Linked DNA regions of Tamandua tetradactyla. The protein of the gene in region 2 purifies or fractionates together with the protein of the main gene of each other region. This does not show direct contact. Links are inferred from orthologs where the notes say so. Each region holds a gene or a part of one and is shown on either strand. Other genes may lie near its edges.

Region 1 (11,998 bases), on a different chromosome or scaffold from region 2:
CAGCGCTCCCCCACCCCCAGGCTCACCCGCCGCTCACCCACACACTCCACCAGGGCGACCTGCCGTGCCACTGTCCTCTGCACCAGGAAAGGGAGCCCCGAGCCACTGCCCGTGGTGCAGTCACTGTCCAGCAGTTCCTGGGGGTACCAAGAGGTCAGTGAGAGGCTGCCCTCCCATATGCCCCAGTTCCTCTCTCTACCCTGAATCTGGGTCTCACAGCTGAGTCTCTGCCTGCAACCCATGCACCCAGCTTGCACCCACTCTAATCTCTGGGGGCCTGTGAGCGGGCCCTTCCCAGCTTCCCTCTGTGCTTCCCTCTGACTCCAGGGCTCCTGCCTGCCTCTCCTCAGCCCTGTGCCCCAGGTTCCCCCAGGCCCATACCCCCAGCATGCTGTCCCCCTGCTCAGATGCCTTCAGGATGAGGTTCGACTCGCCCAGCTCACTGTGCAGGCCCCGCTGCTTCTCCTGCCTCCGCCGGACATGCCACAGGCCCAGGGCACCAAGGGCCACCAGGGCCAGCAAGGCCAGTACAGGCCCCAGGACCAAAGGCAGCTGACCATCTACTTGCGGCTGGTCCGGAGGGGCTTGGGTAGCTGGGGGAAAGGGGACACCGAGATCCAGTTCCCCACCAGGCCAGGTGCCACCACCTTGTCCCGCTGCCAGTCAGATCCAGGGCCCTGCCTCCCCCACCCTCCTAGCCAGAGCCTACGAGGAAAGCAGGGCAGGAAGGCAGCATCCGAGAGGACGGGGTGGGGCTGTCGGGGCAGCTGGACGTACCGGGCAGCACCAGGGACACGTTTTGGTTGCAGAGGGAGCTGTAGCAGCAGTAGTGGTTGACGAAGTCGGTGGGGCGCCCCCTGCAGAGCTCCTCATGCTGGCTCCCGCAGCCCCGATGCTCCTGGAGGGGACTGCCCTCCTCCCGCACCAGCACCACAGTGCACCAGATCCCCTGGCAGGTAGGGCCCCTGCAGTGTGGGTTCTCACACGTGCAGTTCACCAGCGGGCCCCCGGGGGATTTCACGGGGTCTCCTGGGAGACACACTGGCAGCTCAGCAACTCTAGGCCCACCTCTGCCAGACTGAGTCCATCTCTCCCACTGCTCCCTCCTTTCTCACCTCTCAAACCCCTTATGGCCTTGGTCCCTTAGTTCCATCCTCACATCATCCTTCACTCTAGAACCTCAACCCATGCCAGAGGCAGCTCAAACTGAGAGCCAGGCTTCTGACCTCTCCCTAACACTAGGACCTCCCAGTTTCACATAACCCTGTCCAGCCCTGCCCTGTGGGTTCTCCCAGGCACTCCCTGCCAACACCCCCATTCTCTGCACCTCCAGATATAAGTTCCCAAGCTGGGGGGTGACAGAGCAGGTTTGGATCAAGAGCAAAGGAGCGCTGGGGGCCGAGAGCTTCATCTGAATCTCACTGTTTCCCACCCTCCAGCCAAGCTCCCAAATCCACCTTCTTCCTGTCTCCTCAAATTCAGTCCCAGTAGGAGCTGAGCTGAACCCAGACAGCCCTTTCTCCATCCAGGCCCTTGTCCCCTAATACTCACCCTGGCTCAGCCCCAAGACCAGCAGAAGCATCAGAAGGCTCCTCCTTGGGGGGCCCAAGGCCATGGTCCCTGGAAAGAGGAGTAAGAGAGGGGGTGCAGGAAGAGCTGTGAAATGTGATCCCCCTAAGCGTTTTCAGCCACTGAGCCTGGGTCCCTCCCCCCGGAGGAAATCACGGGGAGTTTTTTTGAGGGGGTGGGGCAAGGACGCCTCCTCTCCACTCCCTGTGCCTGGCCTGTAGGGGAAGTCCTAGTTCACTTCCCCATGGAAACCATCCTGCTAAGGGTAAAGGGTAGCGAGCCATGGTTACGTGCCTCAGAGCCTGGGGGAGCCCCCGTTCTGCACCCCTCCTGCTGAGCCCAGACCGGAGGCAGGCCAGGAAGGCCACGGGGCCGGACAGCTAGAAGGGCTCGGGCTGGGGTGGAAGACGGACCTCTTCCGCAGCACACCCACCCTTCTGTACCCTGCCCCTTGCCCACCTCCTCCCAGCCTCCACCCCTAGCCATCCCCTCCCCAGTGTGCCCCCCCACCCCCAGCCCTGGCTGCTTCAAACATAAACAGGCCCCTGGCTTCACTTCCTGCCATTCAGGGTCCCGCTGAGCCGGGAACAGGAATCAAGATTGTTTAGATTGGGATCTGGATAGGACACGCAGGAGTCACGCAAAGCAGGGAGCAAGGACATAGCCTCAGGGCAGGCCAAGGTGACTATAGGGTATAGGGTCGGCGGGAGGCACCTGGGCTGGGACACCCCCACAACAGAATCCTAGGATACCTTGTGAATTACAAAGTCCTGCTCCTTATTTTAGAGAAGAAGGGATGGAGCCCAGACAGGGGAGGAGACTTGTCCAGGGGACCCGTGTGTCCTGACTCCCAGCCCATGTCCTTTCCACTCCGTCTCCCAATCCAGCAGCAGCCGTGTGTCTGAGCCCTCAGGTTTGTAACTCCATACAAAGCCATGGAGTGCCACTCCTGCCGGGTATAAAAGAACCTGTCTGCAAACTCACGAGGGGTGAGATGCCCTCTCTTTGCCATTCCCTGGCCCCCTTCCTTGCTGTTCTGGGAAAGGGTGGGGGTAGGACTGATGATGTGGGAGCGGAAGCGAAACACACTAGACACTGAACACTTGACCTTCCATGGCTTGCTGGGGTTGAACTTTTCTAGAAGTTTGATGGGGAGGGGCCCAGTACTGGTGTGTGTGGTAATTCTGGTCGATGGTAACCCCCAACCCAGGTCCCAAAACAACCAGTGCTTCAGAAGCTACCCCACTCCTCATTTCTCAAAGGTTTAAAACAAGGAGGCATGGGCTAGGGCTGCAGCTAGAGGGACTAAATCAGGCAGCAACAAGGACTTTCCGAATGGTGGCGAGTATGCAGGTGTGTGTCTGGGGGTCGGATCTCTAGGGAGGAACAACCAACAAAAGGGAGGAGAAATGTCCTCTGGTATGACATGGTGAGGTTGGCTGGGCCAGGAACATGGCCATGTGGGCTATGGAAAGCCATAGTCTAGGAATGGTGCCCAGGGAGGGCCCATGATGCTGAGGCTCTGGAGGGAGGATGGCCTGGAGGTGGCGGTGGGTGGGTGCTGCATGGGCCTCTCTGGCTGGTAGCAGCTCTGGCCTTCCTGCCTGGGCTTCCTCTGCCCCAGAGGCCCAGGGCTGGGGAGGAAACAGAGCCCGAGGCTGCTGCAGCTGTGTCCCCAGCCTCTGTTTGAACTCCAGCCTCTTGTCTCTCCTGCCAGGCAGTGAGGACTCTGTCGAGGGCTCTGCAGTGTGGTTGGCGGCTGGAGAAGGAGCTCTAAAAGAGCTGAATTTGCCCACTGGGGTACAGGTAGGAGCCATCCTTGACAGCTTTTGCTTGCACAAAAAGTTGCTGCAGGGAGTGTATGTGGTGGGAAAAAAATTGGGGCAAAAATAAGGATAAAATGTAGCATCCCTCCACGCCCCAGCCTGTCCTCTCATCTACTTTATTATGTACTGGAATCACCAGGAGCTCTTGTTTAGAAGTGTACATTCTTTGGTCTCAATTCACTCCAGATTCTGACTCAGTCCCTCTAGGGGACCAATCAGGAATATGCATTTTTAAAAAGCTCCGCAGTAACTCTGATCAGTTTGTATGGGGAACACACTTAAGAGACATGTGCCCTACACAACACTAACGCTTTTGTTTCTCTGTGCAGGGCCCTGCTGGGCAGGGGGGAGTGGAGCCCAGAGGGAGGGGACCCCAAGAGGGACCTCCCCATCTGCTGGGGACAGAAGGAATGGCCAAGGTTAAACATCGAAGCCAGAGGCAGCAGGGACTTGGGGACATGGCAGGAGGAATGTAGGGGTGAGGGTTTTCTTCCTCCTTGGGCCCAGGAACAGTGCAGGAAGAAACTGGCAGCATTCAGTGAACCCACATCTGGTCCAATGTTGGGAATATAATGGAGTAAAATTGTGACTGTCCAATTTTTAACTGGGCCCAGTGTAGGGTTAAGTACAGGAGGGTGCTGGGTCCTGATCAGTCCAAGCTCAAAGCTGACCCTGCATGGTTCACCCTGAAATCTGGCTCTACCCAAACAGACTCCTGGTGACTGATGTATCCTTCAACTTCTAAGCAAAATGTCCTAAAAGATCTACTGCTAACAGTAGCATCTCCATTGTTGGCCAGAAATCACAAATGTTAATTTCACACATGAACTTACTACCATGAATAATTTAAGAATAATAGTTTGTCTTTTCTGGGTACTGATTATATACTAGGTACTGAACTTCAGTGGTTTATCTCATTTAATCTTCCCAACAATCCAATGGGGAAACTGAGGCTCAGGGGCATTAAGTTTCCTGCCCACAGTGATTACCTATGACTGATAAATTGCTGATAGTAAATCATTTCTTGTGCATTGCCATCCTCTAATTGTTTGGTGTTAGGTGAGTACTTGAAAGAAGGAAAAAATTAGTATGTGGGCATGGACAAATTTCCTACTCTGCAGCTCTCCCACCTCACGCAGGTTTGTTGAGATGCAAAGACAAAGTGTTGCTGGTCAGATACCTGTTTGCTGTAGACAGGGGAGGAGAGTTCCTGGAAGGTAATCACTAATCTTTTTCTCCCCGGCACACCTGAGGGATGGATAAAGCCCACTGTCCTCAGCCACAGCGGTTCAACACAGCAGTGATCGTCACTGGCTGAAGGAGCTCCATCTTAAACATGACCAGGCTGTCACACGCTGCACTTTTAATAACTCCCACCCAAACAGCAGAGGACCAGACTGAGCTGATCATTTTGGGTTGCCCTTTTGGAGACCCAAAGCGCTTTCACCTCCATCATTCCACTAGCTCCTCACTGCAACGTGATGCAGCCTGACAAGCCTGGATGGTGGGGTTCTCCAGGCAGAATGCGGGCTCAGGATCATGTAGACCTAGGTTTACAGCCTGCCTCTGTGTGATTCGAGGCAAGTTTCTTAACCTTTCTGAGGCTAGGTTTCCTCCATGTGTAAAATGGCAATAATAAAAGTGTTGACTTCATAGGTATAATGTATGTAACATTATTTAGCAAATACAAAGTGGCACATGGTAAGCACTTAAATGTTTTTTAAAAATCCAACCCTAACACACCATCCTCAGTGCTTTGGATAAGTTATTTAGGTCTGGGTCGGTTTTCTCTTCTGTAAGATGGGCATAAGGACCCCTCTCCTGCCAGGTTGTTGCCAGGATTACGTGAGAAAAATATATCTAGGCAGCTACATAGTAGTGACAATAAATGGCAGCTATTTTTAAGAACCCAGTGGGATGGGAGGACAGGGACGAGGACCTGTCCTCCCAGAGATGGGAAAGCAAAGGATCAGAGAGAAGAATTCCTGACTGGGCCAGAAGCTGCCCACAAAATAGAGGGTGAGCTCCACTGTCCACTCTGCCCTGGGGTAGGCAGCTATCCCTGGAACACGCTCATTAGCACTGGGGTCCCAGCCTGTCCACCTCTGCCCAGTATCCTGAAGGAAGGCTGGAGTTAGGGGTGAGGTTTGTGGGCTGGAGTAAATGTCAGATTTCTTAAGCAAGGGCTGCAGAAGCTGATCTGGAAAAGGTGGTTTCACCAGTGTTGTAAGCAGACACTCACTCCCAGGTCAGCCCAAAGGCCTGGAGGGACACAGCACAGAATAAGGGCAAGAAAGGTTGTCCGCTTCACATCAGACCAGCCTGGATTTTTGAGCTGGATTTTACAGAATTAAAAGCTGGGTTGATGGGAATCTGGATTATACATGCTTAAGGTTCTCAGAGGTGGGCCCTGGATCCTGGAGTTTAGATAACAAAGATAATAAAAGATAATCATTAGTTGCAGAAGCTTAAAGAAAAGCACACCCATTACCCCCGAGTGAATCCTTCTCTCTGAGTGAAGCAAGACAGGAATTCTGCCCATTTTATGAGTGAGGATACAAGAACAGAGAAGTTAAGCGACCGGCCCCAGGTCACTCAGCAGAAGCCTGTCAGCAAGTTCGGGTTTTCAGATCAGCAATCCAGGTCCCTTCTAGGTCCCTCCCGGTGTCAGGTGGGGCGATGGGCCGAGGTGCACCGAGCGCGAGGAGGCAGTGCGGTGGGACTGACCCTACCGCGACCTCTCTGAGGGGGTCTCGGAATCCACACAAAGGAAGGGGCCCTTCTGGACGGGGGTCGTCCATCTCGCCATCAGATCCCAGCCCTAAAGACCTCGACTCACCTCTGGGCCTGCCCTGCGGACGGCGCGGCGCGGACATGCGGCGGGCGGGGACGCCTCCCTCCCCGGCGGCGGCCGCCGTCGCACTGCAAGAGCTGGACCGCGGGTCGGGGTCCGGGCGGGGCCCCGGACGGGGCTGAGGCCGGGGAGGGGCTCGCTCGGCGCGGCTGGCGCGGCGGCCTCCTGGGACTGGGAAGGAGGCTGGAGCAAAAAATGTTTCTTATTCCAGCGTCTTCCTGCCTGGCCCGGCTCCACCACTCCCTCCTAATAAACCGTTTCCTATTGCCCAGCTTGCTGACGGGCCGCCCGCTCGCCCCCCGTGGGGGCTGCAGGGCCGGGACCTTCCCCCACCCCCGCCCCCGAGCGCTTCCCGAGACCCCGAGGCGGCTGCCCACCCCTGCCCCGCCCCGCCAGTCGCCCCCACCCAGCCGGGGTTCCCTGGCCCGCATCCCCTCCGCGTGCCTCCCACATCCGCCTCCCCGAGGGGGCGGGTCTTGGACTCCGGCCGCGGGGGTCCCGTGGGGTCCCGGCCCAGCACCGTGGAGCCGGAGCTGAGACGGGAGACACCCTCTGGCAACCGAAGTAGGGGAGTGGGGTGTGAGGGCGCCCCCTCCCGCTCCGAGCCGGCGGGGCGGGGGCCTGGAACCCGGGGGTCGCACAGCGGGGCATGGAGGGAAGGACACGCGGAGGAGGGCGGTAGGGCGGTCTGCCCAGGAGGCTCAGGGCGGCGCCGGCAGAGTTTGGGGCTGACCAGGTCCAAAAGAACTTTGATCCCGCCCTCGGGGACCCCGCTTTCGGTCCGGATCCTTCAGCCGCTGCGCCTCCTTCGGGCCTTTTCACCCCCTCCTTCCGCAGCCGCTCCTCTGCCCAGCGCAGGGGTACCCAGACCCAGATGGGGGGCTCTGGGTCAGTGGCGTGGCCGTCTGAGCCCCTCTGCGCCGCAGCTCCGGCCTGGGACTCCCTTCACCACCACGGGCAGCCAGAATGGAGGGAGGCGCTGGGACCTTGGACTGCCGGCTGGGAGGCAGGTCACCGACCATCCATAGGAGCTTTAGAGGTGGGGACCCGAGCCTCCCTGGGGACACTGCGGAGACAGACTCAGGGAGGAGAGCAGAATGGCTCCTTACCCCAAGAGAAAGAAACTCTTCCTCCTGGTGACCCTGCCCAGGCTCCCAGCGCTGCTGTGGTTGTCCAGCTGTCCTTCAGCCACTGTGAGCAGGACTCAGGTTTGTCCCTAGCATCCTGGTTATCCACAAAGACTCTGAGGTCAGCCTCCCTGCCCAAGAATCTTTGCACAACCTTAGATGAGTGACACCTCTCCAACCCTCCGGTGTCCAGGTGCTGGATGGGCGTAACAAACAACACTAGCCTTGTCCCGTGCTTGTCCCATGCTTGTGAGGAAAATGATGCTTATCTCACTTCATAGCAAAAATGTTGGCTGGGGGTGCTGACCCAGGGTAGGCCCTCAGTAAAAGTATTTGTTAATTAATGGTTGGAAAGGGGGTGGCTGGAGAGCCAAGTGAGAAGGCTCGGGTACCAGAAGCAGGCGTAGACCTCTAAGGTGTCTTGCTTGCAGATGATGATTCAAAGATGGGACACCTTGGCAGGATTCGAAGCTGGGGAGAGAGGGCTAAGTGCTCAGACTAGGTGTCAATTGTGGACTGACCTCATTTCCTCGGCTGGAACCCACCCCCTCCCACCCTGCAGCTGCTTCACAACTTGTTGTGTGCCTTGTGAATTCCCAGAACCCCGGCACACCCAAATTTCAGTGTCAGGACAGAGCTGTGTCCTGCAGCCAATAGGAAGTACTATGGGATTACAGTATCTGCTCTGTCCGATTATAGCGGCCACTTGGGCTCTCTATTAGCTGGATAACTGGGAGTCTGGCCGCGTGTTCATCCTTCACACCCCTTCTCCCTCCTGCCCTGCCTTGGCTTCTGATAAACCTCTTCCTCTCCCAGCCCATGGGTCTCTGTCCTGGGAAGGGGAATGGGGGCTTCCCCCCAGGGAAGCATTTAGCTGAGATACACTGAGGACAGAGACACTGAGATGGACATGCTGAGAGTCGCCTGGGAGAGCCAGCTGGGATAGGGACTATTTATCTGGGAAGAGTTTGTAAAGCCGATAAAAGTAGATAAGGTTTGGCAGGAGGAAGAGAGGACCTGAGGGGGTGGAGAACAGCGACAGTTAATCCAGGCCAGGCTCTCCTCCACCCTCCATCCCCCACCCCCCAGCACGCTGAGCCTGCGAACCCCAACTGATGCTCTTTGGGGCTTTTCGTGCACCCCACGCCTTCCAAAGCACACACAGGACGTGGGGGAGGCTCGGCAGGAGGGACACAGAGTTGGAGAAAGCGTTGGAGACTCAGCCCAGTGAGGAAAGGGAAAAGGAATTACAGACTGTGTCCAAGTCTGAGTCTACATGAATTAATTACGCAAAGGGACCAGCTGTTCCCCATATTCAGTGAGGACAGAACAAGAGGAAACAGACCCACAGGACCGAGATTTAGATTTAGATATTCAGAAGGATTTCCCAGCGTGCGTGAAACAGAGGCCTGAAGATCTTGGGGTGGGTATGTGCGCTGAGACCACATGGAGGGTCTCGTTGTAGAAGGCGGTGCCGTGGAGTGCGGCGTGAAGGGAGCGGAGTGGAGACCCTGAGATATCGAGTACACAGCTGGACGCCAGGGCAGGGACAGCTTCGTGGGCGTGTGGCCTATGCAGTTTAATGCTGCGCTGCTGCCACCTTCAAATTCTTAACAGTATTCTTAAACATTTTAAAACAAAGGGCCGAGTGCACTGGATCCCACAAATTATGTAGCCAGTTCTGCATCAGATTTAGCAGGGCAAAAAAAAATGTAGGAAAAGTTAGAAGGGGTGAGCTGGGCTTCGCTCCACTAAAATTTCAGAGTGGGAGGTTTAGATCAGACAACTAAAGGTGAGAGGCATGACATACCATGAAACAGCGAAACAGGTACCCCAGGGATTGTGGGTCCCCCTTCAGGGAGAAGTAGTGCAGGTACCTATAAATGACTTTAAGTCATCTACGCAGCCTAAGAGAGACTCTGTTTTGCAGGCTGGCTGGAATTGGAGTTTTGCCTGGAGGAAAGGGGAGAAGAAACGACCTTTCTAAGTCTCCTCCAGCTCAGGCATCATAGGATTGTGAAAAAAAGTGATGAGCCAGGGATCAAGGGGCCTGGCTGGGCTCCAGGCCCAAATCCTCCCTGGGCCTCAGTTCCCTCCTCTGTTCACTGAGGGGTTTAAACCAGATAATCCTAAAGGTCCTTTTCCAATCTCAGGAAACTACTAGTTCCAGGCCCTGTCACTAAAACTCAGTAACAGAGGTGGTCTGGCTGGAGCCAAGATTTGAGGACAGTTACGGGGTGAGGGTGGGGGAGCAGGGCTCTGCCCAGGGAGAGACTGGTAGACGGGCCAGCTGCCCAGACATTGAGCTGCCAAGTCATCTTCCTCTTCCTCTCCAGCTCCTCTGGGATCTCCCCCAGATGGGTTTGTCTACCCCTCGGCCACCACCAAGCCCTCAGGATGACTCATCTTAGGATGAAAACTCTTAAGGAAGGGAAGACATGTCAGGGCAGGAGAGGCTTGTGATTAGACGGTGCCCGCGTGATCCTGCAGGGGTGGGGTGTTGGCCTGGAGCCCACGCCCAGTTGAGAAGCTGCCCCACCACTGCTGCCTCCTCCTGCCACCTTTAGATTGCCCCTCCCCACCTGCTTGTGAATTATTGATTCTATATGTAGAATGGAATGAGTCTCCCACTCATCCATCAAACCCTGGCCTGGTCCCTGAAAGTAGAGGAAAGCTGGTGGAAAGAGCTCAAGCTTGGAGTTGAAACATCTGTGTAGGAGCCTCAGTTTCCATACCTGTAAGAAAGGGTAGATAATTCCTCCTCTACCGCATTCTTACACTTAAAGCAAAGTATGTGTGGAAGTCGTTTACCAGCTATTTTGAGGAAGGGAGGTGGAGTTGTGAGGTAGGAGTAAAAACATCCAGGAGTCAGGAGACCTGGGGCTGGGCCCTGTGACCTTGACCTTATCTGTTCAAAGATGAGTAATAAGTATGGTCTGTTCTACTAATAGCTACACGAGGGTTATTACAAAGGTGAAAGTTTGGCTACTGGAGAAGATGCTAAAGAATGAGGCAATCGTTTTGAGAAAATCAAAGAAACCCTAACTATGCACTCGGTAAAATACATAAAATTCTGCAAAGAATTGATCATAAGTCACTGTAGCCACCCCCAGACCCTGGCTGGGGGGCAACTGCCTCTCAAAGTTTTTGCTATTAGTTTCTCTGGCATTTACTTCAAGTATGGTACGTTTACACTGCTATCTCTAGATTTTAAAGTCTCAGGAATTATTAAAAAACTTCAGACTTTAGGTCATTTAGATTGTCCCTCCCCTCTTTCCCTCTGAATTATTGATCATCATAACTTTATTTTATAACTTTAAATAATATATCCAAACCTTAAGTTCCAGTTCTTTCAGGATTTGACTGTATCACTTGACTTTTCACTAATTAAGGCAGGCTGCACCCCCTCCCTTCCATAGAGCTGCAATTTTTTAAAATTTATTTTATTTATTAAACATACCAGCATACCAACACAAACATTCTTACCATATGATCATTCCATTCTATATATATAATCAGTAATTCACAATATCATCACATAGTTGTATATTCATCATCGTGATCATTTCTTGGAACATTTGCATAAATTCAGAAAAATAAATAAAAAGACAGCAGGAAAAGAAATGAAAAGAAAACAGGAAAAAATTCATACATACCATACCCCTTACCCTTCCCTTTCATTGATCACTAGCATTTCAATCTACTAAATCTATTTTAACATTTGTTCCCCCTATTATTTATTTATTTTTAATCCATATATTTTACTTATCTGTCCATAAAGTAGATAAAAGGTTTTCACAATCACACAGTCACATTGCGAAAGCTGTATCATTATACAATCATCTTCAAGAAACATGGCTACTGGAACACAGCTCTACAGTTTCAGCCACTTCCCTCCAGCCTCTCTGTTACACAGTAACTAAAAAGGTGATATATCTATTTAATGTGTAAGAATAACCTCCAAGATAATCTCTCGACTCTGTTTGGAATCTCTCAGCCTTTGTCACTTTATTTGGTCTCATTTCACTCTTCCCCCTTTTGGTCGAGAAGGTTTTCTCAATCCCTTGATGCTGAGTCCCAGCTCGTTTTGGGATTTCTGTCCCACGTTGCCAGAAAGGTCCACACCCCTGGGAGTCATGTCCCACGTAGACAGGGGGAGGACGTGAGTTTGCTTGTTGTGTTGGCTGGAGAGAGAGGCCACATCTGAGCAACAAAAGAGGTTCTCTGGGGGTGACTCTTAGGCCTAATTTTAAGTAGGCTTGGCCTATCCTTTGTGGGAATAAGTTTCATATGAACAAACCCCAAGATTGGGGGCTTAGCCTATTGCTTTGGTTGTCCACACTGCTTGTGAGAATATCAAGAATTTAGAGCTGCAATTCTGACGTGAGAAGAGAAGCCGTGTTGGACAACCAAGGGAGTGACCGACCTTGTTACTGGGGGGTGTTCAGGGGAAACTCCCGACGACAACGATGCCTTGAGGACCCTGTTGAGCATGCTGGATTGGACGGGATTCCTAGAGGCATAGAGCCTTTTGCTCGCTCTGAAGACAAGGAAGCCTGAGTTGGCTCGGCTGAGAGAAGGTGGCACTGGCAGGAAGGAGGTGGGGGCCTGGCATCTTCAGT
Region 2 (12,056 bases):
CCTCCATATAGTTGTGAATTTTCTGGTCCTCTGCATATCAGTTTTTTTTTTTTTTTTTTTTTTTTTTTGGCTTTTAAAAAGGGGAATTTAATAAGTTGCTAGTTTACAGTACTAAGGCCGAGGAAATGTCCCAGTTAAAACAAGTCTATAGAGATGTTCAATCAAAGGCATCCAGGGAAAGATACCTTGATTCAAGAAGGCTGATGAAGTTCAGGGTTTCTCTCTCAAGTAGAAGGGCATATGGCAAACATAGTCAGAGTTTCTCTCTCATTTGTAAAGGCACATGGTGAACACAGTCAGGGCTTCTCTCTCATCTGGAAGGACATATGGTGAACACGGCATCATCTGCTAGCTTCTTCTCCCGGCTTTCTGTTCCATGAAGCTCCCCATATCAGTTTTTAAATTTTTTAAACATAACAACATACAAACACAAACATTCTTACCATATGATCACCCCATTCTTGGTATATAATCAAGAATTCACAATATCATCACATAGTTGTATATTTATCATCATGATCATTTCTTAGAACATTTTCATCAATTCAGAAAAAGAAATAAAAAGAAAAAAGAAAAAAATTCATACATACCATACCACTTATCCTTCCCCTTCATTGATCACTAGCATTTCAATCTACTAAATTTATTTTAATATTTATTCCCTCTATTATTTATTTATTTTTAATCCATGTTTACTCATCTGTCCATAAAGTAGATAAAAGGAGCATCAGACACAAGGCTTTCACAATCTGCCTATTACTGATTTCCAACTTCATTCCTTTATGATCTGAGAAATTGTTTTGTATGATTTCAATCTTTTTAAATTTATTGAGACTTGCTCTGAGACCCAGCATTTGGTCTATTCTTGAGAATGATACATGAGCACTTGAGAAAAAGGTATATCCTGCTGTTGTGAGGTGTAATGCTCTATAAATGTTAAGTCTAGCTCATTTATTGTATTATTCAAATTCTCTGTTTCTTTATTGATTCTCTGTCTAAATGTTCTGTCCATTGATGAGAATGAGGAATTGAAGTCTCTAACTATTATGGTAGATGTGTCTATTTTTCTTTTAAGTGTTTGCCTCATGTGTTTTGGTGCACTCTGGCTCAGTGCATAAATATTTATGATCGTTATGTCTTCTTGCTGAGTTGTTCCTTTTATTAACAAATTAATATTTATTAATATTAAAATAGTGTCCTTCTTTGTCTCTTTTAATTGTTTTACATTTGAAGTCTAATTTGTTGGATATCAGTACAGCTACTCCTGCTCTTTTCTGATTGTGTTTGCATGAATATCTTTTCCCAACCTTTCACTTTCAACCTATGTTTATCCTTGGGTCTAAGATGCATCTCCTGTAGACAGCATATAGATGGGTCCTGTTTTTTAATCCATTCTGCCAAACTATGTTTTTTGATTGGGGAGTTTAATCCATTAACATTTAGAGTAATTACTGTAAGGGCAGTACTTTCTTCTACCATTTTGCCTTTTGGATTTTATATGTCATATCTAATTTTTCTTCTTTTTACTTTTACTGATAGTCTTCATTTCTACACTCTTCTCCACACCTCTCTCTCCTGCCTTTTCCTATCTGTCTCTAGTGCTCCCTTTAGTATTTCTTGCAGAGCTGGTCTGTTGGTCATAAATTCTCTCAGTGATTTTTTGTCTGAAAATATTTTAATTTTCCTTTCATTTTTGGAGAACATTTTTGCTGGATATAGAATTCTTGGTTGGAAGTTTTTCTCTTTTAGTATCTCAAATATATCATATCACTGTCTTCTCACCTCCATGCTTACTGCTGAGATTTCTATGCACAGTCTTATTGGGTTTCCCTTGTATATGATGGATTGCTTTTCTCTTGCTGCTTTCAAGAGTCTCTCTTTCTCTTTGACCTCTGGCATTCTGATTAGTAAGTGTCTTGGAGTATGTCTATTTGGATGTTCTGTTTGGGGTACACTGTACTTCTTGGATCTGTAATTTTAAATCTTTCATAAGAGTTGGGACATTTTCAGTGATAATTTCCTCTATTAGTTTTTCTCCTCCTTTTCCCTTCTCTTCTTCTTCTGGGACACCCACAACATGTATATTCATGTGCATCGTATTGTCCTTCAATTCCCTGAGTCCCTGCTCATATTTTTCTGTTTTTTTCCATTTATTTTCTTTTGCTTATCAGATTTCAGATGTCCTGCCTTCCAGTTCACTGATCCTATCTTCTGTCTCTTGAAATCTAACATTGTAGGTTTCCATTGTTTTTTTCATCTCTTCTACTGTGCCTTTCATTCCTATAAATTGTGATTTGTTTTTTCAGACTTTTGATTTCTTCTTTTTGTTCATTCCTTGCCTTCTTTATATCCTCCCTCGTTCATTGATTTGATTTTTGACAAGGTTTTCCATGTCTGTGTGAACATTCTGAATTCATTGTTTCAACTCCTGTATCTCATTTGAATCGTTGGTTTGTTTTTTGACTGGGCCATAACTTCTATTTTTCTAGTATGATTCTTTATTTTTTGCTGGTGTCTATACATTTAATTTCCTTAGTTAGTTTATTCTGGAGGTCATTTTCACTTTTTTTACCTAGGATTTTCTTGCTGGATGACTTTGTTGTCTATCTGTTCTTTGACATTCAGTTCAGCTTATTCCAGACCTCTAGCTTAGGTTTGGTTTAACAGATCAGAATTTTTCAGTTCTTATTTTCTTGTTTCTTGCCCTGCCTATATGGTGCCTTTTTTTCCCTTTCCTTAGGAGGGTCTACATAGGTATTTTAGACCCCAGTCAGATTTTCCCAGACCAAACTGGCTTCCACTCAGAAGGAAAGAGTCACCTGCGTCATTTTTCTGAGGGTGAGACCCAGCAGGTTGAAAGACTTTCTTATGAAGCCTCTGAACTCTGTGTTTTTCCTATCTTGCCCAGTATGTGACACATGTCTGACTGCAGGTCCCACCAGGATAAGGTGATGCAGTACCTTTAACTTCAGCAGACTCTCCCTTATGGGGGCATGGTGCAGACAGAGGAGAGGTTGTAGGCTGGCTTTAATCACTTCACTTTTCCAGGCCCTGGGGTCTGAATTCCTTGAGGGAAGGATTCCACCTGAGCTGGGCCCCACCCCTCTCCTGGGGAAGGCACAGGCTCCAGACAAGCTCTCAGACAAGCTTAATTCTGCCCATGCCTGGGGCAGTTGGAGCCTGAGAAGTCCTGTAGCTGTATCCAAAGAGCAGTCAAGCCATAGAAAACACAGACACAAAAAGGGAAAGAAAGAAAAAAAAAATCCTTTTCAGAGTAGGATCCCCATTCCTTGGGTTTGCCAATCAAGAGCTTAAGTTGTTATGTTGCTTTGTGTATCTCCAGGTCCTATCTGTCCCCTCTTTTCCTTCAGGGTCGAGACCCTTCCAAATATTTTGTGCTGCCTGATCAAAAAAACCTTTTTTTCCATCAGCCCTGCCCCCTCTGCGCTGGAGCAAAAACCAGCAACCTCAGCTTTTACTCGAGGTTCAGCTGAGCTGAGTTTACTACTTTTTAGTAGTAAGAATTTGTTCATTAATTCCACAGTTGGAGCTTGGCTGTGCTCAGCCCCTCTGGGAAGCTGCCTGTGGGGGATGGGCGCCGGCCTCTGCGGCTTGGGGGACTCCCGGTTCTGGGGGGCTCGCAGCCAGTCCAGCTGGTCCAGACTGGGGTATGCTGTGTGTCCAGTCACTGACATGACCCCAGCAGTTGTTCTGTACTTTTCCTGGGTTATTTACTAGTGGCTCTGGAGCACGAACTAAATCCCAAACCTCACTAAGCTGTCTTGGCTCCCGTATGCAAATATCTTGATTGATTTACTTTGGGAGTTGATTCCCTTCGGTAGTCTAAGGCCTTGTGTTTGTGGGGTGGATGTGGACTCGGATGCAAGGTATGGGGTGGGGTACAACAGTGATACGTTGCAGCCCAGGTAAAGGCGCAGGTTGGGGATGTTACGCTGGTGCTTGAGAACGTGGGCGCCCAGGGGCCAGGGAGGACATAGCTGTGCGTGTGTACAGGTCTGGGGGACGTAACCCTGGTGGGTGCTGGTCTAGGGCGCAGGGCCCTTTGTGTGCATGCGCAGAGCAAGGCATCAGGACCGTGTCCTGCCTTCATGGACTGGGGCAGGTGTGACCTGGCTGCGCAGGTCGGTGCTTTCTCAGAGCTGAGGGCTGTGCACATGCGCGGTTCTAGGAGTGCCACAAACGGATGCTTCCAGAGCTGAGGGGCGTGACTGGTGGCCAAGCGGGTCTAGGAGCATTGTCAGCTGATGCGCAGATCTGAAGGTATGCGCCCGCAGCCTTATTGCACTGTCAACACCCTGCAGGGAGGAGAGATCAGGAGGTAGTGCTCAGAAGGTGTGCAGGAAAGGTAGGCTGGGCTGCACTTGGGGTGGGGGTATGGGGTGGGTGCGCACTCTGGGGGCTGATGAGCGGGGGGCTCTTGGAGCGCGGGGAGTGGGGGCGAGTGATGGTGTTCAGGTGCGTGGGGTGTGGGGTGAGTCGCGGGTCGCGGGTCGCGGGGCTGCACTGATGAGAGTAGCGCATTCAGGGCCCGCGGCTTGGCTTACTTTCTAGTAGTCCCCGTTTCCCCATCCGTGCCCAACTGTGGGCTCCATGCTTCTGCGTTAGGCTCCAGTTTTCTGGTTCTCAATTCCTCCGCCTCTGCAACCAGGGTCGCCCTATGTGGTGCAAAAGGCTCTCCCAGATCAGCTGCGCTCTTGAATAGCCGTCTCAGTGGCCCTCCCATCCCTTCTCTAACTTTTCCTTGGAGCAGACCTGACTCAATCTACCCTATTCAGCCATCTCCCCTGAACCAGAGAGCCTAGGTGTTTTTTAAGGTTAACAGGAATGATATTGGTTGGGCGTAATTATAGGTAGGTTCAGCTTCTCTGCTACAGAAATAAGTTTCATTAAGAGCAAGACTCAAGATCAAAGGCTTGGCCTGTTAACTTGTCTCCCTAGAGTTTTCTACAAGTTCTTCCTCATATCCCCCTGAAGTGGCTCCTGCTTTCCGGAGAATCCAGTGGGTCCTGTTTGTAACAAGGGTGGGGTGGGTTGTTCAGCATGAGGGTGGGGGTGGAAGGGAGGTTTTGGAACAGCCTCCCGTGGCGTCCCTATCTCCACCCCTGGACACCCCCAGCACCCCACCCTGCGATGCCCACAGTCACCAGGACATCACTGCTCCACTCCAAGTTCAACCCAGGTGGTGGTGGCAGTGAAGGACCTGGGGTCATCACCTGCCAGCTGTGGATCTGAGGGGCCACTTATACCTCTGGGAGCCTGGGGTTCCTCCTCTGCAAAATGGGGATGTGAGGGCCACAGGGAGGCTGTGAGGACTCAGAGCTGATAAGGTGACTGCCTAGGGCGGGCCTGGCGTGGAAGGAGCGTCCAGCCCTTGGGTGCTGGGTTTACTGCACCTGGGGCACAGATGCTGGAACTGGGGCCCGGGGGACCCTATAGCTACCCACCTCCCCACTGAAGCCACCCTGTGCCTCATGGTGCCCATGTCCTCATCTCCGCAGCTGCAGGAAAAGACAGTGTAATAACCATTCTGTGGGTGGCCCCCTCTGCCCCCCTCATAGCCCTCCTTGGCCTGCCTTGACTCCATGCCCATGCCTCATGGCAGGAACTGGCCAGGCAGCCATGGGGTTGGGTGAGCTGACCCTTTCCCCAAACCCCATCCAAAGAGACCCGCCCACCCTTCCCACTCCTATATCAGCTCCTGCAAAGACAAACATATGACCTACTCTGGTCACCGGACCAGGCCAGAGCGTCGGAGGCATCTAGGGCCAGGCCTCGGCCTCTTATTCCAGACTAACACCTCCCTCCAGAGGCACGCAGGAATCCAATTTTCTCCCCACCCCCTGGGTCACGATGTCCCCACTGTGATCCAGAACAGATGCAGGGAGAATGGCTTCATCTCCTGCTGGGTACTGCCAGCACATGCCAAGATTTGTCTTCTCAAAGTCAAGCCCCACTGGTTTCCTCCTCCAGAACCTTCCATGATTTCCCATGGCTTCAGGGTAAATTCCTGCCATTCAAGACCCCCTCGAACAGGGCTGGAGTCTGCCTCTCCAGGCTTACTGCCCTCTCCTGACCCTGTCCCATGGTGGGCCAAGCACATCCCACCTCCATGCCTTTGCTCAGGCTGGTCCCCCTGCCCGACCCATCCACCTCCTCCCTGTCTTCTACACACCCCAGACTCACCTAGTCTTTCAAAAGCCAGGTCTAAATGCCACCTTGCCCAGGAAGCTCGGGCTTCTTTCTCTGAGCTCCCCTGGGCCTAAGCCTAGGTTCTGCCCATGACTAGTATCATGTTGGACGCATAGTAGGTGCTTTCTGTTTGCAGCATGAACGGCCACCCCACCTGCAGCCCCAGCCCCAGCCCAGTGCCAGGCTGCTCTCCCAAGTTCCAGGATTGTCTCCCAGGGCCAGGGAACGCTGATGGGGGCTTCTGCGTGTCGGGTTCAGGGCTCGGTGCGGTGCTGCCTCGACCCGGGAACTCTCACCGCAGCCTGGAGAGGAGGGCACTGTTGTGCTCTCACTTTACAAACAGGGTGACAGACGGTTTAGGCGACTTGGCCAAGATCTCACAGCTCAGATCAAGCAGTGCAGGGTGTTGAACCCAGGGCCATCTGAATTCAGAAATGCCATTGAAGGTCTGTCCCATCCTCCTTTGTTTGGGGTTGTCCTTTGTCCCTGGAGGATTTTCCACCCATGGAGGGATCAGACACAAAATGTGTGGCCCTGGGCAGACCTCCTGCCCTCTCTGGGCTCAGAAACCCCAGATCTAGGTGAATTGCTGGGCCGACTTGGGAGTGTTCCTTCCTTACTCTGGGCCTCAGTTTCCCTGCCTGCAAAGCAGAGGGACAGAAGCCCCATGTTATGGTTACCTCAGCCAGCTTTGGACCCTGAGGGGCACAGGTTTGAATCCCAGCTCTATCCCCTTTCTGGTCAACAATCTCACCTCATTGGGCCTCTGTTTTCTTATCTGCGAAATGGGAATACCAGGTTCCCAGGCTGTGAGTCCCACAGGAACCATCTCAGCCAGGGCTGCCTGGGAAGGGCCCCTTGGTGGGCTGTTTGGGTGATTGTTCGCATCTGGTCTCCAGGGGCTGCCAGATGCACCCCCACTGGCCAGACCTGGAGAGGGTGGGGAGGCAAGCTTGGAGCCTGGGCCCTCCCACCCCCGCTGACCCCCCACCCAGGCCCCCCACCCAGCGACAAAGCCCGTGGCACTTCCTCTAACCGTCTGGCAGGCGGCCTGGCCCGGCCCCTTCTCTAAGGAAGCGCATTTCCTGCCTCCCCGGGCCGGGCTGGATGAGCCGGGAGCTCCCCTCAGCCGACAGTCAGACCTCAGGCTCCATCCGTGTCCACGGGACCACCGCGCTCGCTGCTGCCACAGGAGTCCAGTGTCCCCTCCCTGCCCACTTCTTGGCCAGCTGTGGACCCAGGGCCCGGGCCTGCGCCCTCCTGCCCACTTCTCCTGACCCCTCGGCTGTCCCCGCAGAAGGCTGGAGCAGGGACGCTGTCGCTCCGGCCGCCTGCTCCCCTCGGGTCCCTGCGTGAGCCCACGCCGGCCCCCGCACCCACCCACAGCCCTGCCCCTGGACACCGGATAAGGCCCAGCGCACAGACCTCCGAGCGGACAGCATGGACCGTGACGCCCGTCTCCTGGTCGTTGCCCTGTTGCTGGCCGTCTGCAGCCTCAACCCCACAGGTAGGTGTCCAGGGACCTGGGGTGGGGGGACTCAGGCCCGGGGTGGGTCAGTGCCTGGCAGATCTTGAACCCGGTCAGTGCCCTGACCTCAGGCCTGGTGGAGCCTGTCTGGTGTCTTTCCTGGGGGGAGGTGGGGGACCTGGACATCCAGAGGGGGAGGCCACAGGGTGACCGACCATCCCGGCTGCTGGGTTTGGAGGACGCAGGGCTTTCAGAGCTAAAGTGTCTCAGGCAAACCGGGATGAGCTGGTCACTTTAGCTCTGGCCTGCTGGCGTCCCCATCACCCAGCTGCGCGGCCCTGAGGAGCGTGTGGGAAGGAGCTCGGTGCGTGGCACCCTGGGCCTTAGTTTTTGGAGCTTGGGCTCCGGAGTCAGGCTAGGGCTCAAACCTCCACTTCCTTAGCTACCCGGTGTGATCTGGGGGTGCTGCCTTCGTGTCGCTGAGCCCGTTTCCCCAACCTCTGAGTGGGGATGGTGACAGGACTCCCCCCTTGGGGCTGCTGTGGGAGGGGACCTGGCCGGGAGGTGAGGCGAGCCCTCAGGCCTGCGGCTCGTTTCTGTGTTGTTTTATGGAGAAGCGACTCCCAGAACCCTTTGGAACAGCTCGCAAGGCCCTCCCGCCTCTCTGCCCCTCCTCTCCTGGTTAGGGGACCTGCCAGAGCTCCTCAGCCTGGAGGCTTCTCCGGGGCTCCTGGCCTCTTCGGGCTTCTGAAACTGACCAGAGGAGGGGTCCTGAGGAGGTGGGGTGCCAGCCCCATCTCACCTGCCGTGCCTCCGCTGTGTCCTGCCCCTCACCCTCCTAGAGCCACAAGACAGGACAGCCCAGGGCCACCCCTTCAGGGTCTGGAGGAGGAAGAGGGGAAGGAGGAAGCCCTGAGGGGGGGGGGGCAGTAGGGGGAGACGAGAAGGGGAACAGCAGCAGCCACGGCCACCCCCTCCCCATCTCACCCCACCCCTCAGCATTTAAAATTTACCAAACCTTGGTCTCTCCAACTCTCACCACTGCCCCATAATACATGGGGAACTAAGTTTTAGAGATGCAAGTGGCTTAGGGGGGATTAGACCCCAGGCTTGTGCTCCCCAGAACATTTGCTTCTAACCATGTATGATGCGGCAACCCCTCAAAATGGCTCACAGCCATCCTGCAAGCCGGCTGCCATCACCGCCCCCATTTTACAGGAAAGGTAAACTCAGACCTGCCTGATTTCACATGGTTCCGTCAGACCCCTATCTGGGTTCTGACGTGCCTGTAGGTCCGTCTCGCCTTTCTCTCCCATCCTCTCACCCATTTCTAGCATGGTAACGTCCTATTCCACTTGCTCATTAGAGAAAGACCCATGCAGACATTTTGGGTCTGGTTTTACAGAATCAAGGTGGAGGTATGCTGGTGAACAATTAACAACTGGTGACTGGGGGAGCAGGCAAAGGAGGGTGGGAATCTGATTTGGGATGTCTGTCAATTTCCATGGTGTCAATGCTCCCACATGGCTGATGTCAAGTTACCAACTCACTAGCCCAGCCAGGAATTGACGCACAGCAGCCCACATCATGCGGTATTTCCACCACATTGATACAGTAGATAAAGATAACCTCAAGAGCAGAAATAATAGTAAAATGGAGTAAATTATTTAGGAGGTGATGAGTTTCTATGTTTTTAATATAATTTATATAATTGTAAGTTTATATGAGCTACTTCGAAATAATGGCACTGTCTGACAATTAGTTCAGAGAACACCTGGAAATTTTTCAGCCCACTCTTAGGAGCAGGCATGAGCCAGTTCTGGCACACCACGGTTCAAGGGTAACCATCCAGCCCAGCTCACGTACGGCCTGGGAAACCGAGGCCCACGCAGGGCAGATGAGGGCTCCAGCACGTTGCAGAGCACAGGCCCTTACAGGCTGGAACCCAGCTCTTTCCACGCCACGGGTGGGGATGGGGTGACCCAGTGTCCCCATTCATGCCCACAGGGGTCCGGAAACAGGTCCAAAAATGGGTCCAGATTTCTGGGAGCCCAACTCAGCAGCAACTCTCAAAACTTTTAACTATGCATGATTCTTGGTCCCAGCAACTTATCCTCCGGGGTCAGCCCTATGGAGATATTTTCCCGGCTCTCTAAAGATGTGTGACCCAAAGACACCTGTAACCAAAACCCAACTAGTAGAAGCCACCTAATGTATATCAGCAGGACACCTGTTAAATAAATTATTACGGAGAGGTATACTAAGCAGCAGTCGCCAAGGAAAAAGACGGGTCTCTGTGTATACTGCCGTGGACAGATGACTGCAGCACACTGTTAGATCCCCAATATTTCTATCATAATAAAATAGTAAAAATGTACAATATGTACAGAGGAAATTCTGGAAGGCTGTGTACCCAACACTCCTCTTTTCCAACATAAAGGTTTCTCTCTGGGACGTTCACCATCTAAGTCAAATTTTTCTGTTATGTTGGGATTTTTTTTAAGAGCAAGCATATGGAGATATTTAAAAAACACAAAAAACAATTTAACCACTTAGTTGCCTCAGCTTACCCCTCAAAGAAGGTAGATAAGAGAGGAAAACATTATCTCCCAAACCCCTTTGTAATATAGATACTGTTACCATGTTGGTGGATTGCCTTCTAGCTTTTGTCTAGCTTTTTCAGGTAATTTAAATCCAGATGGATCAAATTTGGGTGTCTTACATAACCTTTCTCCTGTCCCAGGAGTTTCCATATTGTCAGATGGACTCCATAATCATCCCGTTGTGGTTCTAGAATATTCTCTCCTTCAAATGAGCCATCGTTTACTTAATGAATCCCCTATTGCTGCATATTTAGTTCATTTCCCCTTGAGTACTGGTTATAAATACCACCTCAACACACGTTTTTGGCACATGCACCTTTTTCCATATTTTGTATAATGGTCTTTGGGTAGAGTCCCAGAAGAAGGGGTGCGGGGGCTTGTGGCCCATGTTAGGTGGCTGGGATTGAAGAATGTTTCCTCTGTGCGGGTGATCGTTTGCTGGAGGATGGAGCAGGGGTGTGGTCTGGGACTTCCGCGACTCATCGGAGAGGAGGACGAGTGACACAGACCAGAGACTGGATAGATCCATCATTTAGAGGCTGCATTTGGGGACAGCTACCCATTTGCCAGGAGGAAAACAAGGTTGGAGAAGGAGCTGGGTGAGCCAGGAGAGGGTGGGTCTCTGCAGGGCCATGGCTTGAAAGCTTCTCCCTTGCCTTAGGCAGGCGGATGGTAACACTAAGGCCCAGAGAGAGAAAGCCTTGCTCAGGGTCGCAGGTGGGTCAGTGCTGGGCCCTCTGAGGACAGCCTGGTCCATTGACTCAAGGACCTGGAGTGAGCTGGAATGTTGAGGGGCAAGAGGGAGGGATCCATCTCTCCAGTGTCCTCAGTACATCAGGCACTGTGCTGGCTCTTTGCCTTTATTCCCAGTTTATCGATGAGGAAATTGAGGCTTGGGACAAGTGGTAGGCTCAGATTCGAACCCAGTCCCAACTTCTTTCCCCTTCTCCAAGCTGGGGCCAAGACTTCAGGCAGCCTGGGTTCCAGAGACTTGGAGAGCTGGTTGCCCTGGCTCTGAGATCCCCCCACCCAGGTCCGGTTCGGGCTCTGCAGGGTCAGCCCTAGAGGCTGAAGAGGAGATTCAGGAGGAGCCGAGCTAGCTTTCACACCTGTGTGTGTGTGGGGGGGGGGTAGGGCTGAGGAGGGGAAAGGGGTTAAGGGGCCAAAGTAACAGGTGACGTTTATTTAATGCTTACTGTGTGCCAGACTCTGCTCTAGGTACGTTATGTGTACTCATTAAAGCCCTGTGGGGTAGAGCATTCCTGTTATTCCCATGTCACAGATTAGGAGACTGGGGCTCAGTGGGTGAAGGAATTGGCCCAAGTGGCACAGCCCAGAAGCAGGCATCTGGGACTCGAGCTCTGGACCTGTTTACAGCCCTGTACTGCCACAGAGAGATGATAGGGCCCTCCCTGTGGCCCCATAGTCTTTTTCCAGGAAGTTGGCCCCTTCTCTTTCCCCTACCGTGACCTTCCCACTTGGAGCACAACTCATGAGACCCTGCCCCTACCCTCAGTAGCCCCGTCAATGCCTTGCCCTCTCTTCCTACTTCCACCCCCAGGCAGAATCTCAGAACTTCAGAATCCAGTGGAGTGTGGAGCATCTCCTGTCCATTGTTTCCTGCCACCCCAGTATCCACATGGAAACTGAGGCTCAGAATGGTGGAGGGATTTGACACAGGTCATCTGGCAAATGAGAGCCAGGCCTGGCAAGCCAATTCCACAAATGTCTGCTCGTGTTTGTCTGTTCCGTGCCCTGGGCTGGGCTCTGGGGAC

What was found.
Region 1: the proteins of ENG (region 2) and ACVRL1 purify together in Homo sapiens (affinity purification with western blotting; 3 studies listed by BioGRID and IntAct, with this or other methods). This does not show direct contact. The link is inferred for Tamandua tetradactyla from reciprocal best matches to the Homo sapiens genes ENG and ACVRL1.

What each region holds. Positions count from the first base shown.
Region 1 is NC_135333.1:113,295,862-113,307,859, reverse strand, and holds the start of ACVRL1 (activin receptor type-1-like), read right to left. Parts: upstream 6,333-11,998; 5' UTR 6,272-6,332; coding exon 6,235-6,271; intron 6,184-6,234; exon of another isoform or gene 2,322-6,183; intron 1,621-2,321; coding exon 1,552-1,620; intron 1,030-1,551; coding exon 778-1,029; intron 594-777; coding exon 382-593; intron 138-381; coding exon 38-137; intron 1-37. UniProt on the Homo sapiens protein: Type I receptor for TGF-beta family ligands BMP9/GDF2 and BMP10 and important regulator of normal blood vessel development. On ligand binding, forms a receptor complex consisting of two type II and two type I transmembrane serine/threonine kinases.
Region 2 is NC_135328.1:50,695,677-50,707,732, reverse strand, and holds the start of ENG (endoglin), read left to right. Parts: upstream 1-7,291; 5' UTR 7,292-7,650; coding exon 7,651-7,717; intron 7,718-12,056. UniProt on the Homo sapiens protein: Vascular endothelium glycoprotein that plays an important role in the regulation of angiogenesis. Required for normal structure and integrity of adult vasculature. Regulates the migration of vascular endothelial cells.